3 linked regions of the Mus musculus genome follow. The protein of the gene in region 1 purifies or fractionates together with the protein of each later gene. This does not show direct contact. Links are inferred from orthologs where the notes say so. Each region holds a gene or a part of one and is shown in the gene's direction. Other genes may lie near its edges.

Region 1 (6,442 bases):
ATTGTATGCATAAAAATAAACTATTTTTTAAAATTCACAAAGAAAAAGTATCCCCCTAAAAAGATCCTCTGACATCAGAGCTCAGTGGTAAAGAATACCTGAGGCCCTGGGTCCAAGTCCTAAAACCATCAGGTAAAATTGCTTGCTACCAAGCCCGACAACCCGAGTTTGATCCCAGGAGCCCATGTGAAAGGACCTACAGACAGAAGCATGCACAAACCAACACCTATACATGCTCACAAAAGATGGCTCAGCAGTTAAGAGCACTTGTCTCTCTTCCAAAAAAACCCTGGCTCTTCCTAGCTCCTACATGGTTGCTCACAAACGTTAACTCCAGTTCCAGAAGATCTAGTGCCCTCTTATGGTCTCAGAGGGCATCAGGCATTGCAAGTGGTGCAAAGGTATACATGTAAGCAAAATACAAATATACACTTAAAGTAAAAATAAAATCGGGGGGGGGGGGGGACACACCTGAAATTAGCATTCTAGAAGCAAGACAACTGTGTCATTTCCCAATTGGCATTACTATAACAACACTAATGTGCTAAAAACACCATGCTAAACAAATCCAAATACAGGTCTAATTCTGTTTCCACCAATGAGAAAATCCAAAGTCACACTGAATAAAAAGATTTCATCTCCATTCATTATGGATCTTTCACAAAATTAATTTAACTTTCTTCATTTTATTATTTGATTTGTTGGTTTATTGTTTTTTTGAGAAAGGATCTCTATAGTCCTGGCTGTCATGGAGTTTGATATGAAGACCAGGATGGCTCTGAACTTACAGAGATCCTCCTGCCATTGCCTCCTGAGTGTTGGGATTAAAGACACGGACCACCATGCCCAACTTTCTTAATTTTAAAACTTCTATCTGCTGTGGTATCCTGTTAAACTTTCTGAGAATGAAAACTTGAAAAAATTAAGGGATAAATAATTTGCCAACTAATTAATCCATTAAGCCCTGATGGCTTGTCCTGAAGTAGACAAGACAAATGCACAGGAAATGGAAGCAAAGTGAGTCTCGGGCTAGAGCTCTGGCTCTCAAGCCTGGACGTCTGCATTGGAGTCCCAGTTGTATTGTCTTGCTAGTTGTGTGCCCTCATTCAAGATAAACTTCCTTGCTTGCTGCCTCATGTAATAAAAGTGACAAAAATATATAATGTACCTGATATTTACCTCATGGGGAAACTGTGCAAGTTAAGTATCTTAGTGCATATAAAGCACTCAGCACATAAGCAGCCAATATTTATCACAATGATGCTCAACTTGGGAAAGAGCTCCCTCTTGCACCACAGAATTACACTACACATTCTTAAACTGTCCCCAAAGGCACAAGTCCTCGGCCATCTCCATCCCAAAAGATAAAGAACCGCTTTTTGTTGGAGATGCTGGGAAGCGAATACAGGGCTTGTTAATGCTAGGCAAGAGCTTTACCATGAAGCTACACCCCAACTCCTGAAAGCACTTTTCCGAAGACTAGGGTCCCCGAAATCTCCATAAATAAATTCTGACCTAAGCTACGTTAAAGACTAACGTTAGTTTTTTGCTTCACGCACTTATCAAGTTAGAACCTCAAAACATTTATCAAATTAGAACCTCAAAAACCTGGGGGGGGGTTGTTTGTTTGTTTACACAAGTTTATCAGTGCAGCATTATAAACTCCAGTTACACTTTCACATTCCTGGTTTGGGGAAGCCAATCCCGAGAAAGACTAGCTATTAATCTGCCCAAGGTCAACCAAAGAATTCTGAAGGTAAGTAACGGAAACCACCTCTCTGGACCCCGCAAACCCTAGGCTATAAACCCGGACTAAGAGAGCCCCGGGAGGTGCTTTGTTGAGCTAGGTCCCGGGCCCGCCAACCTCGAAGCCTTACCTCTTTGGGGTCTCCAGATCCAGTGAGCATCTTTCGTTCGTCCTCTAGTCCCATGTCGGGAGCCGGTTTGGGATCCAACAAGCGCAACCAGAGTAGTACTCCACTTCAGGTTTAAGAAGGACTAGTAAGGGTCACTCGACGGATATCCGGCGACCTGGCCGGAAGTGCGGCATACTCCTCGTAGTCCCGAACACACGCACAAATTGGGCTGTACTACTCGCTAGCTACGAGACGTAGGGGGAGCTGCTATATACGCCTGCAAAGAATTTGCTAAGAAACATCCTTTCGGTCACTTCTTGCCCAAATGTGTTGATCTACAGTATTTTTCCAAGTAGTATTCCCTAAGATACTTGAGTCATCTGCTCCTCTGTTTGACGATCTTTTAATGTTGTTTCTGTTCTTCCCCATATCCCTTATGGAGCGGTCCTAAAAGCTGACCTCTTCAAGATGGCGGCCCGCGGGTGTCATTCTCGGGCTCGCGCACCTCCCCAAGATGGCGGCGCCCGAGGCCTGGCGCGCCCGGAGTTGCTGGTTCTGTGAGGTAGCGGCAGCAACGACCATGGAGGCCACGTCCCGGGAGGCGGCGCCAGCGAAGAGCTCGGCCTCGGGCCCCAGCGCTCCCCCCGCCCTGTTCGAGCTGTGCGGGCGGGCAGTGAGCGCCCATATGGGGGTTCTGGAGAGCGGGGTGTGGGGTAAGTCGCGGAGTGAGGGGCGACCTCCGGCAGCGAGCGGGGGCGGCCCGGCGGCCAGGGGGCGCGGGGGGCGAGGCCGAGAGGCCCGGGGCCAGGCCCAGCTGGGAGCCCCGGGAGTTCGATGGTGGAGTCGGAACAGAAATTCCGTGACTGACAGGGCGGGACGGAGTGAAGCCTGAGACCGAGGGAGCCGGTGAAGCCGAGCCGCGGCTCGCCTGGGGGGCGCGGGGGGCGAGGCCAGAAGGCCCGGTACGGGGCAGAGCTGCCAGGGCCCTAGCGACGGGGGCTGGAGTAGCAGGCCGGAGCCACAGGCTCGGAACTGACACTGGGCTGGACCGGACTGAACGGAGGATTCTCGGATCTCGAACCGACGGGGCAGGGATGGCCGGGCTGCCCCGGGGCAGGGACCGACTTTGGCAGGCCCGACCCGAGGCAAGGAGGCCAGGCCCGCAGCCACCTGCGCTGCCGGCCCGGGGCCTCCGCTGTCCGCCGGGCACACCACCGGTACCTGGACTCCGGGAGCCCCGCGGATGGGCGGGGTGGGACAGCCCAGTGGAGAGCGAGCGAGGGACCGGAGTCGCGGGGAGAAGCCGAAAAGGCTGGGAGCGCCGTGGCCTGTTTGACGGCCCGAGCGAGGGCTGAAGGGAGCGCACCGACGCCCCAGACCTCGCTGCTAAACTGAGCTGCGGGTCTGCCCGCCGAGCAGGTAGCGCCGGTGGCCTTCTGGATGGACCGGGGCGGTGGTGGAGAAGGTAGGAAAGTGAGTGGAGGGCTCCGGGAGACGCTCCGTAAGCACGGACAGGCTCGGGAGACCGGCCGGCGGGAAGGGCCGAAGAGGCCTCAGGCCGGGCAGGGGCCAGGGTATCCCGGACTGCGGAGCTAGAGTCGGGTGAGACGCGTCATGGGGAAGAGGCCTTGGGCCGAATAGGAGGGAGCCGAGGCCTTAGTTGTGAGAGCGGCCGGTACGGAGGGGCTGGACCCGGCTAGACAGTCCGCTCCGCTCCGGTGTGAGCCAAGGCCTTCTGCTCCCCGACCAGATGGCAAGGAGGCCCTGCTGGAGGAGGATACCGCAGGCCAGCGGCCTGGCAACTTAAGCGGGGAAAGGGTCCACGACGTGAAAAGTGAGAGTAGAGAGTTAAAGAGAAAGTTAGGGCCTTCAGGGGAGACAAGGGAGGGAGGCCATGGGCCTGACAGAATTGGTGCTAGTGGAGTAGGGTCAGGCTGAAGTTGGATGAGATCACAGGTCGGGCCAGACGGAAGGTGGAGGAGGAGAGGGTAACATCAGAGGAGGCTCCTGGCCTTGGAGTGTGCAGGGGATGTGCCACCGGGACTATCCAAGGTGGTGGTGACATCTTTGCCAGAAGGCAGGCCCTGGTCCGTTAAGAACTGAGAGTGAGGGTTTTGTTAAGCCCCAGGAGGTGGGTTTGCAGGATTGCTGCCCCAGAATAGGTTGTAAGGCCTTAGAGTGGCCAGCACTGCTGAGAAGGCCCAAGCGCCTTCCAGGAGGTGGGGGTGGGGGAGAAGAGATGGATAAGAAGTCCTCAGGCCCTGTGTGAGCAGAGGAGATTGTGGAGGCCCCGTGCCAAGCTGCGCAGAAAAAGGTCAGGCTGACCCTATGGTGAATGGAAGGAAAGGCCTCCCTGGGGTTGAACAGGGGCTCAGAGAAGTCCTGGAAATGTGGCAGCCTGTTATCAGCCTGGAGAGTCTTTAGATGCTGATCTTGGCTAGAAGAGGAGTTGGGTGTTAATGGAGGCCCTGACTTGCAAAGAGGAAGCATTTAAAAGGAAAAAAGTACGGCTGGAAGCAAGCAAGGAACCTGTCTTAAGAATAAAGGAACAGTAGACTTTGTAGTTTGAAGAGATGAGAATTCCTGTGAGAGGTGTGAGAGGGGATTGCTAAGCAGGAGGGAGCAGAGTCCAAAGGAAAAGGGGGAAGCTCTGAAGGCATGGCTTTTCTTTCTGTGTACTCATCACTACTTCATTGTTCCCAGTTGAGAAGAGACAGGAGAACCTGCAGTGGGCTAGATCCAGTAAATAGCCACCCAGTCAGTAAGAACTTGACTCTGTAAGAACTTTTAGAGGTGCCAAGAAAAAGGCCTGTCAAGCGCTGCTGTTTCAGAGGGAGGCCTCAGGGTGAGCTAGGGAGCAGTCAGGAAAGGCTTCTGCCATTAGTGGACTAGCACTGAAGAGAGGGGAGTAAGTGGAGGCAACCCAAGTGTGTAGTGAGAGACAGTGGGCCAGGGAGATGCTCAGCAGGTCAGGCCAGACACTGCCATCAGCCTGACAACCTCAAGGCCATTCCTGGGACCCAACTAGCAGAATTGGATCTGCAAGTGACTGTCCTCTGACCTCATTCCTGCTGTGTGCCACATCTCTCAGTGATCTCTCATGATGAGAAAAGTTCATCGATGGTAGATGACCTTAAATATCAGGGTGTGAGATTTGAACTTTATCTTGTATGGAGTAGAGAGCTTTTGAAAGGTTTTGATCAGAGTATGTCATCGGGGGGGGGGGAGAGAAGAGGAGAGAGAGAGAGAATATAAAGATAGATGTCAGAGAAACAGTGTGTCAGATGATAGACCTACATTACTATAATAGCACAGGGAATTAATGTTCTCATTCAACAGGTACAGTGAATATTAATGAGTACCTAATAGATAAAAAAAAAGTACACTAGATTCTTAGGCCTCATGATTCAGTTATTCTTCAAGTAAAGAGAAAGTACACTGAGGAAAAGCTGTGTGTGCTGACTCACACCTGTAATCCTAGTTCTCAGGAGGCTGAGACAGAAGGATTGCCTCAAGTTACAAGGACGCTAGGAGAAAGACCCTGACTTTAAAAAACAGAGGTACGGGAAAGAGAGTATTCCTTTTACACAGGACAGGACAGTTGGGTTCCTAGCACCCATATCAGATCAAAACTGCATAGAACTCCGGTTCCAGTGGCCCAACACCTTTCAGCCTCTGCAGGCACCCTCACTCACTTGCACGTACCTCTATATAGACACACATATACATGCAATTTTAAAATAAAATATTTTTTAAAATGTAGGTCAAAGAATGAAAGTTTTGGTATAACTACAAGATCGTAAGCTTAATAGAGTAGAGATGCATAGACAGAATGAACATAATAATAGCCAGTATTCATTGATCTTATGGGCAGGTATTGTGTTAAACAAATTACAAGCATGATCTTTAATGTCATGAGGTAGTCATTTCTAATCTATTCCCTCTTCATACAACTCCTAATACACACATTTTGTTTTATTGAATCAGGATTTCGCTTTATTATCCCTGGCTGTCCTGGTACTCATTATGTAGCTCCAGCTAGCTTGAACTTGCAGCAGTCCTCCTGCCTCAGCCTCCCAAATGCTGGAGTAAGATTTTCCCCAACTTCTCTCTCTCTCTCTCTCTCTCTCTCTCTCTCTCTCTCTCTCTCTCTCTCTCTCTCTGCCGGGGGAAGAATAAATAAAGGCAATCCATAATCAAGACTAGCTTTGAATTCCTGATATTCTTGGTTCCAGGGAAAAACTGGTTTTGTTTTTTAAAGTATAATGAATTAGAGAAGAGTTATCTTTAATTTTCATGAGTATTTACTACCTTCATAGGAAGGTAGTAGCTCAGAGTATACTCAGAGCCCAGCCCAGCCTAGGCAGAAGTTTGCTGACCTCAGTGAGCAAGCAGCTTAGTTTTCCTTTCCTCTGAATTTCCAGCTGCCTTAAGATAGATAATGTTTAGAACCCAAGAAGGGAAAAAGTAAACTTTGTGTTTTGGTTTTTGTAGCCCTCCCAGGCCCAATACTTCAAAGCATCTTACCTCTGCTCAATATATATTACTTGGAGAGGATTGAGGAAACTGCTCTCAAAAAAGGTAAG
Region 2 (4,716 bases), on another chromosome or scaffold:
TTCATATGCCCATAGACAATTTTTTTTTTGTTTGTGTACTTCTTATCCTGGAACTTAACTATAAAGTCTAGGCTAGCAGTGAACTCCACAGAGTCCATTTGCTCCCCAAGTGCTGGGCTTAAAAGTGCACACCACTGTGTCTGGCTTCCAAGAATGCATTTCTGTGTGTTTATGTGCATAGGAAGACCAGTCCTTTTTTTTTTTTTTAAATTGAGATAGGGTCTTACTTATCCTGAAACTCATCAGTTCAACTAGACTGGCGATCCATCAGTCTCTGGAGACCTGCCTATAATGCAGCAATGGGATCACGGGTGTGTGCTGCTGCTACAGGGCTTTTTTTACCTGTGGGTGTTGGGAATCCACAATTAGGTCCTCATGTTGTGTGGCAGGCACACTGATTACTGAGCCATCTCCTAGCCCAATTTTTTGTTTTTGTTTTTGTCTTTTGAGACAGTGTTTCTCTGTGTAGCCCTGGCTGTCCTGGAACTCACTCTGTAGACCAGGCTAGCCTCCAACTCAGATCTGCCTGCCTCTGCCTCCTAAGTGCTGGGATTAAAGGCGTGCGCCACCACATTAGGTGTAATTAATGTTTTGAGTTGGGTGGTGGTGGCTGGTAGTGAGAACTAGAGGGTAGAGGAAGAAGCCTGATATCAACTTCCAGTTTATGCATGCCCACTCAAACACACAATCTCAAAAGCTATGCACATACAGTACTCCGGAATGAGGCTGGCGGATTGCAAATTCCAGTCTTCCAAACTAGCCTAGGCTATGTAAGTATATCCCATTTCAAAAAATCTGGTCACACCATTCCCAGGGATCGGATAAAATCCAAACCAGAGATAAACACAGAGCCTCAAATCTGTATCTTGTTTTTTGTGGTTCTGTTTTGTTTGAGACACTCTCACTGTATAGACTAGGCTGACCTTAAACTCTCACAGTGCCATCTGCCTCTGCCTACAGAATGCTGGGATTAAAGGTGTATACCTCTAATTCTGGCTTTATTTTTTTGATATTGTTAATATTTTAAATTTATGTGTGGGCCAGGGATAGTGGTATATGCCTTTGATCCCAGCATGTAGGGGGCAGGACAGCCAGAGCTACATAGCTACCCTAACTCAAAAGAAATAATTAAAACAAAACAAAACAAAACAAAATAAAATAAATGTGTGAATATGTGGTTACTAATTGTATGTGCACCAGTGCTTTCAGAGCCCAGAAGGAGTAAAATCCCTTGGAACTGCATGTGTAGCTGCGCATGCTAAGAAATAAGCATGCATGCTTTGTGAAGAGCCATCTCCAACCCCTATGCTATTTTGTGTATGTGTTTTGCCTGTGTGTATCTTTGTATCACCTATGAAGCACCCCTGGAGGCCAGAAGAGCATACTGTATCCCTCAGGGACCCTGAGACTGCAGTTAGAGAAGCTTGCTAGCTGTGATGTGAGTGCTAGGGATTGAGTCTCGTCCTCTGCAAGAGCAATCAGTGCTCCAGCCCCAGGGTTTTATGTTTTTGAGAAAGGATCTTAGTCCAAGCTGGCCCCTAAATTTCTGCTTCCTCTGCTTTTTACCTTCCAAGTGCTGTGACTACAGGCTTGCTCTACTATGCCTCATAACCTTCAGCCCCTCCTCTTTCTCCTCCTTACTTCTCTTTCCTTTTCTCTTCTTTCTTTTTTTTTTTTTTTTTTTTTGAGATTGGTTTCTCTGTATCCCTGGCTGTTCTGAGATCCATCTGCCTCTGTCTCCTGAGTGCTGGGGCAAAGGCATATGTTGCCACTGCCTGGCAGATGAATTCTTTTGTAATCTTTGGGCCTTAAATATTATGCAAAATTGTTATAAATAAAGTGATAAAGGATTTCTTTGTTTTAGTACTGCATTACTATTGAATTGTGAATTTCATGCTTGAGCTGTATTTTAGAAGTTAGAAAACCAGACCAACAACAATATGAAAAGAATTAGGTGAAGTGTACTATACCCAAGGATAACATTTGTGTTTTTGATGTTTCTTACTGTTTTATAGGTTTTGATGTGGCCAAGACAGGTGATGCTCGAATTGGGTTTGTGGGTTTTCCATCTGTGGGGAAATCAACTCTGCTAAGTAACTTAGCAGGAGTGTATTCTGAAGTGGCAGCCTATGAATTCACTACATTGACCACAGTGCCTGGTGTCATCAGATATAAAGGTGCCAAGATCCAGGTGAGTAACATTTTTCAGGCCAAGAAAGGGAAGAAACCCATTGTTTTCATTCATTTAGGAAGTGCTTTATTAATAGCCCACAGTATGTCGGGACTGTCTTTTTATTTAGTAGGCCCTTCATCTCTTTAAGAGTTACTATACTTGCCAGGTGTGGTGGCGCACGCCTTTAATCCCAGCACTTGGGAGGCAGAGGCAGGCGGATTTCTGAGTTCGAGGTCAGCCTGGTCTACAGAGTGAGTTCCAGGATAGCCAGAGCTACACAGAGAAACCCTGTGGGAAAAAAAAAAGTTACTACACTTAACAAGAAAGTTATTAGAGTGAAATAGGACCCATGAAAATATATGAAAAAAAGGGTCTGCTTTTTGATCTGACATTGAGGGAAGATCATCTGAGACGGGGCTTTATATGCACAAAATGACTTGCAGAATTGAGTCTTTTTTAAGAAAAGGTCTTTTAAAAAAATTCTATTATTTATCTTTATTTTATGTTCATTGGTGTTTTGCCTGAAGTTATATCTGTGTGAAGCTGTAAGATCCCCTGGAAGAACAGCCAGTGTTCTTTAACTGCTGAGCTATTTCTCCAGCCCAAGAAAAGGTCTTATTATATAGTAAAGGTTAGCCTTGAACTCCCAGGTTTGTCCTTGCTGCAGCCTGTGAAGTACTAGAGTTAGAGGTGTGCTGACACTACACTTGGGTTGGCAGTGTCTTGACGTTAGTGTGTGTCATATCATAGTTTCTGTTGCTTGGATGGAACACCATAACCAGTTGGAGAGGAAAAGCATTTACTAGGTTTACACTTCCACATTGTAGCCCATCACTGAAGGAGGTCATGGGTGGGTACTGCTCACTAGCTCACTCTCCATGGTTTGCTCAGCCTGGTTGCTTTTTTATTTTAAATTATTTTAATTTTATTTACATGGGCATTTTGGCTGCATGTATGTCCGTGAGGTAGTTGGATCCCCTAGAACAGGAGTTATAGACAGTTGTGAGCTTTCATGTGGGTGTTGGTTAGAGTAGCCAGATGAGCCATCTCTCCAGCTTTCCAGCCTGCTTTCTTAGAAGCTAGGACCACCAGACCAGCTCCTTCATCAGTCACTAAGAAAATGCCTTACAGTTGGATCTTTGGAGGCATTTCCTTGACTGGGGTTTCTTCCTTTCAGATAATTCTAGGTTGTGTCCAGTTGGCCTAAGACTAGGCAGCACAACCAGAAAAGTGAAAATACATTCAATGTGGCTATCATGTGCTTTTTGTTTCGTTTTGTTTTTTTTTAAAAAGTTTTATTTTTATGTAGCTGTCTTCAGACACACCAGAAGAGGGCATCAGATCTCATTACAGATGGTTGTGAGCCACCATGTGGTTGCTGGGAATTGAACTCAGGACCTCTGGAAGAGCAGTCAGTGCTCTTCACCGCTGAGCCATCTCTCCAGCCCTACCACATGCTTTTTTTTTGTTTGTTTGTTTTTCGAGACAGGGTTTCTCTTTGTAGTCCTGGCTGTCCTGGAATTCTTTCTGTAGACCAGGCTGGCCTTGAACTCAGAAATCCGCCTGCCTCTGCCTCCCGAGTGCTGGGATTAAAGGCGTGCGCCACCACTGCCCAGCTCAGAACTCATGTTTTTGCTAGCCCTGGGAATTCCCACCCCACCACCCTGAGGTTATTGCAAGAGCTTTTGTTCTTGCTTCACTGTGGATTCTGGGGATCTGAACTCAAGTTCTCCTGTCTTTCTGTTTTTGAGACAGATTCTTTCTATGTAGCTCAACTGGCCTTGAGTTTGAGATTCTGCCTTTTCATCTGTTGTGGGAGCTACATCTGGCTTGATGTTAGTTTCTGTGAGTTTATTAAGATGGTATTTGCAGGGCTTCTGTGTTTCCTTTTCAAAGTCAGTAGATGTTTCAGGAGAGATACTTTGAAAAAGATCTGCATTCTAATTCTCAAGGTTTAATTTTATTATTAGATTTATTTATGTGTGTATTTTCTCACATGTGTGCCTGTGTACCACTTGAGTCACAAGAGGGTGTTGTGACCCCCTGGAAATGGAGTTACAGATGATTGTGAGCCACCTTTTGAGTGGTGAAAACTGAAGGAACCATGTCTTCTCAAAGAGCAAGTTCTCAGTGCTGTGCCATCTCTCCACCTGCTTAAGCTCTGTACTGTTACAATGTTCATATATGTGTTTCAGAATCCAGCATGTTCCTTAAATGTTCTTTACTCCTTTCTGTCCTAACTGTAGCTCTCAGTGCTTTTGTTCAGTACTTGTGTTAACTGGATTTCTAATGAAGAGCTGCCCTTCACCCATTTATTCAAGAATTTATATAAATGTTGGGTTGTGGATATTTTTTCATGTGTTATAATTCAGTGTTGTACATACTCATATTTTAACAGCTTTGACCATTAGAAAGTTTTTGTTTGCCAGGCAATGGTGGCGCACACCTTTAATCCCAGCACTTGGGAAGCAGAGGCAGGCGGATTTCTGAGTTCCAGGACGGCCTGGTCTACAGAGTGAGTTCCAGGACAGCCAGGGATACAC
Region 3 (4,716 bases), on another chromosome or scaffold:
CAGGCTTTTAAAACCTCTTAATGTATTGCAAACTGATAGTTATTTTAATTTTAGAAAAAAGTCTCTTAATGGGACTGCTTCTTTTGTTCTACTTTTATAGTTTTTATTTAATATCATTCAAAATTCTGGTGCCAGTTTGAAGCACAAAAAAGATTAAGTTTTCATGGTCCTATAATCTTTACATTCCTGGATGGACAGACTTACCTTTTTTTCTATATATTTTTGATATAAAACCCTATTGGTAATCTGATAAAAGCCTGGTATCATTGGACAAGATGACTCATCAGGTAACAGAAACCTGGTGATCTGATTTGATCCCAGGAAGCCACTTAGAGATGTTCCAGGGCAGCCAGGGCTGCACAGAGAAGCAAAGCCTGCCTCAGACATACCAACCAACCAACCAAAGATGGAGAGAGCTGACCTTAGAGAGCTGTCTTCTGACTTCCACATGCGTGCTATGGCATGTACTTATAAACATGTAATATATAGTTATGCACAAAAAAAACTTAAATAAAAACCCTTGTAGCTGGATGCACCATAAATTATCTAGCCGGGCAGTTCTAGCACACGCCTTTAATCCCAGCACTTGGGAGGCAGAGGCAGGAGGATTTCTGAGTTTGAGGCCAGCCTGGTCTACAGAGTGAGTTCCAGGACACCAGGGCTATACAGAGAAACCCTGTCTTAAAAACCAAAATCATCATCATCACCATCAGTCATCAGTATCAATGAAAGACTGTCTTGCCTGTACAGGAAGTTGAAGGGTTTATCCTGCTGGACGCTAGCTTCCCGAGCCGATTTGTATGATTACAATCAGGTGTTAAATACAGCGTCCACAGCAAATTAGTTCAAGGATTTCCTGCAGGTCCCAGAATTTCTTGTATAAAGCATTCACCCTACAGGTTTTATACTATATATTTAAATAATCTTTAGGTCACCATAGCACCTAATAGAGTATAAATGCTTTGTGACTAGTCACCATACTGTGTTGTTTAGGAGGCAATGTTTAAGTTTGTGTGTTTAATACACATGCAACTATCATAGGTCTGATTATATTTTTGTGGTTGGTTGTTTGGTTGTTATTTGTTTTGTTTTGGTTGATTGGTTTCCTTCTTGAGACAGAGTTTCTCTGTGTAGCCCCGGTTGTCCTAGAAATCACTTTATGGACCAGACTGACTCAGAGGTCTGACTAGGATTAAAGGCAAGGACCACCATACTCAGCTCACAATTCTCTTGTTCATTCAGTCTGTGGGTATGGAGCTCATAGAACCAACTGTTTCTCTTTTGCATTTACTTTACTAGTCTTTACTAAGGCACCTTGTTGCTTTTAGTTGCCTAAGAAAAGCTAAAATTTAATGATGATTACAGTAGGTGTACTTTGCAGGTAATGTCATTGCCAACTTGTATGTAGTTTAAAAATCACCAAGAACATAATCGGTAAAATTGACTTAGGCGAAACTTGTTGATTTCTTTAGAAACATTTAATTGTCAAAAAATGAATTAAAAACAGGATCTGTGGTAAATTTTGCTATCACTTTATCAGTCTAGTTAATATGTAGTGTTTACTGATTTTTAAGAGTAGATACCCATGGTTCTCTTCTGTTATACAAAGATGCACCTTAATATTAGAGGCAAATTTGTGTAAGTGGAGTCTTATGTCTTAGTATTATCTATGTATTTGTATGTGTGTGGCCATATGTGTATGTGTAGGTCAGAGCACAACTCTTTAAGAATTGATACTATTTTTCCACCATTGGGTCCTAGTGCTGCACTCAGGTCATCGTGCTTGTTAGCGGACAGCGCCTTTACCGTCTGCTCGCTCGCTCGCTCGCTGGCTGCCATAGCAGTACTCACCTGTTTGCCCACAGTATCTAGAACTCCAGCTCCAGGGCATCCAGGGCTTTTTTTCCCAGCCTTTTCAGGCACCAGACTTGAATGTGATAAAGTCATACAAGGAGACAAACATTCAAGTGCATTATTAATTTTAATAAAACAATAGAGAGAGTATAGGTTAATTTTGGCTTCCTTTACTTTCAAAATCTTTGTGATAGTGTAATGGAGAAAAACTGTAGCTGCTGAGTGAGTCTCCAAATGATGACCTGGGGCTGCTGGGCAGTGTGGGTGCTGTTAGAAGATAACATAGGAAAAGTTACTGGTTTGCTTTGCTCAAATTAATTGAATGTATTAATGTACTTTCATTTTCATTTTTCTCTTAGGAAGCCATCATACAAATAATGAAAATGAGAAAGAAAATTAGCAATGCCCAGCTGCAGACTGAATTAGTAGAAATTCTGAAAAACATGTTCCTGCCTCAGAAGAAGATGATAAAGGAGCAGATGGAGTGGCTGATTGAACACAGGTACATCCGGAGGGACGAGGCCGACATCAACACCTTCATCTACATGGCCTAGCCGGGCCGCTGCTGCCGCACACACGCCCCTGAAGGCCTGGGCAGAGGCTGTCCCAGCCCCAGCTGGAGGAAGCTTTATTTGGACTTTGATTACATAAATATTAAACTCTGCCTTACCTTACAAAACGACTCTATTTTGCCAGTCACATTAGTTAGCATGATGGCATTCCCTTCATGTTGCACACTCTTTAACAGCATGCTGTTTTGTGGAGAAAATTGCATTCATGAAGAGCCCATTGTGAACTTTCAAAGTCAATTCAATTTTTACCCACCTAGAGAAATAACATGTCGGAAGGGTGAGGGTGGGGTTCTTTTTGCTTCTTTTATCCCCTTTTCTTCTTCAAAGAAATATACTTGCACAAGGAAGGATTTTCAGATATTCATGCACTGAAAAATGCTGGGGATTTTTGTTTGTTTGTTTGGGTTTTTTAAATTCTTTTTTTTTTTTTTTTTTTATGAAATTAAAGCTAGACGTAGCACTAAGCTACTTCTGATGCAAAGAATGAATCGTCAACACTGTGCTGGGCAAGGGCAGGCACACTTGAGAAGACACGTGTGCCAGTGTCAAGTTGTTTGTCAAACACTGCTTTCACTTTAGTGACTGGATCTTAATGGTAACCTGAAATGGTATTAAATATTTCTACCTTATAAATCCTGATTTTCAATGAGCAGGAGAGTTCTGTTTAGTTATTTGTTGTTAAATGATAAAGATTTGGGATTTTTCTTTTAAACCTTGTACGGCTGGAGAGCTTGTTTTGAAAACATGAAGTTTATAATGAATGTTGCTTCAGTTAAAAAATGTGTGGGTATACGTACATTATTGATTGCATAATCAGAATCTTGAAGCAAAAATTAAGTGTGTTACTAATACACTCAATTCTCATACGTCTAATATTTATTATACTGTACCTGAATTTGTTGAAAACAATGCAGAAATATTCTGATGCAGTGCAGTGAGAGAATTGCTTTCTTAACCTGTAGCATAGAATTATTTGGTGATTGAAAGTGTTGTGATTAGGGATTTACCACCTCAGTTTTCTGGAAAGACATTCTCTATTTAAAAGTAATAATTACCTGCCACTTAGCAGGAAGAAAGGTGAGATTACAACCTGCAACCTGAAAAGCACTCAAAGTTGTTAGTCTTAACATGAGCAGTAACCTTGCCAAATATGTACATATATTTATATATTTTAAAAATAAACATTTTTAAAATGTTCAGAGGGCAACACCTACCTTGCTCCTCTCAGTGATCCAGAGCAGTGACTCAGGACTTTACAGAGCAGTGGAAACTTAGAGATTGAGGACTCAAGCAACTGAAGAGAATTATTCCCCAGCAGGAAAAATGGCTCCCTGTGGATTTTACTCATTGTGGTGCACGTTTCGAGTTTTCTTGCAAATTTTAGAACTTTTGATGTTAAGTAGTATTTTGAAGTATTGGTTCTGAAGCTAGCAGAAGATGGAGTGTTGAGAAGCATACAGTATTATCTATCCTATTACCACAGAGGGCTGTGGATCTGCCCTGCTGCTCAGCAGCTGGGGTCTCCTTGCTGGAAAGAAGTAAAGTATATGTTAGATGTTTAAGGCTTTGATAATTATAGTCATATATCTGTTGTGAAACTCATAGGAAGTTGGAAGTGCATGTGTGCTTGCTGTGCCCTGCAGCTCTGAGGTGATGGCTAAAGCAGGTGTGCAGCGCAAACTCAGTCCCTGCTGCTCTACCACGTGGAGGATGGAACATCCGGAATTTAGAGGGATAGTTTTATCATGACTGTTCAATAGCTTGGTGTTGGCAAATTTTCCTGTCCCAATACCAGAATGCCAAAGGAGGAAACAATCAAGGGAAAAATTTTAGGCCATTTAAAATGACAAAAAAGATTTGTCATTTTAAACCATCATTTTCTTTAGAACATCTTTGAAATTTCTAATCGCTTTGGTCATTTAAGAATGAGAGCTGTGATGTTTTGATTTATAAAGGCAAACTTAATGCAAAGTGGGTAACACTAAATCCATAGCAAAGTTTTTTATTAAATTTTTATAAATTTTTTAATAGTTAATTATGTCCTAATTGTATTTTGGGGAATGAGCAGCAGTAAATACCACAGACTTAACAGTTTCATCCTTTTTTAAAAATATATATATAAGAGTGTAACTACTTTTTGGTGTTTATCAAAACTATTTAGTTGACAAGGTGCCTATACCATTGTTGGGATTTTCTTTAAATGTTTTATGAATAGATTTGATAATTTATCTGAAGATCCAGAACCACTGACAGCGCCCCTCTCTCTCCCTGCAGACTTCATAGTCTTGCT

Evidence for each region. Proteins that work in one complex are often made in the same cells at the same time.
Region 2: the proteins of Lrrc41 (region 1) and Drg1 purify together in Homo sapiens (affinity purification with mass spectrometry; 3 studies listed by BioGRID and IntAct, counting the BioPlex papers as one, with this or other methods). This does not show direct contact. The link is inferred for Mus musculus from reciprocal best matches to the Homo sapiens genes LRRC41 and DRG1.
Region 3: the proteins of Lrrc41 (region 1) and Cul5 purify together in Homo sapiens (affinity purification with mass spectrometry; 3 studies listed by BioGRID and IntAct, counting the BioPlex papers as one, with this or other methods). This does not show direct contact. The link is inferred for Mus musculus from reciprocal best matches to the Homo sapiens genes LRRC41 and CUL5.

What each region holds. Positions count from the first base shown.
Region 1 is NC_000070.6:116,073,039-116,079,480, forward strand, and holds the start of Lrrc41 (leucine-rich repeat-containing protein 41), read left to right. Parts: upstream 1-2,230; 5' UTR 2,231-2,370; coding exon 2,371-2,569; intron 2,570-2,634; exon of another isoform or gene 2,635-3,296; coding exon of another isoform or gene 3,297-3,321; intron 3,322-6,350; coding exon 6,351-6,437; intron 6,438-6,442. Other genes in the region: Uqcrh (cytochrome b-c1 complex subunit 6, mitochondrial), read right to left, coding at 1,878-1,931. UniProt on the Homo sapiens protein: Probable substrate recognition component of an ECS (Elongin BC-CUL2/5-SOCS-box protein) E3 ubiquitin ligase complex which mediates the ubiquitination and subsequent proteasomal degradation of target proteins.
Region 2 is NC_000077.6:3,259,964-3,264,679, reverse strand, and holds part of Drg1 (developmentally-regulated GTP-binding protein 1), read left to right. Parts: intron 1-2,015; coding exon 2,016-2,191; intron 2,192-4,716. UniProt on the Homo sapiens protein: Catalyzes the conversion of GTP to GDP through hydrolysis of the gamma-phosphate bond in GTP. Appears to have an intrinsic GTPase activity that is stimulated by ZC3H15/DFRP1 binding likely by increasing the affinity for the potassium ions.
Region 3 is NC_000075.6:53,615,508-53,620,223, reverse strand, and holds part of Cul5 (cullin-5), read left to right. Parts: intron 1-2,213; coding exon 2,214-2,408; 3' UTR 2,409-4,716. UniProt on the Homo sapiens protein: Core component of multiple cullin-5-RING E3 ubiquitin-protein ligase complexes (ECS complexes, also named CRL5 complexes), which mediate the ubiquitination and subsequent proteasomal degradation of target proteins.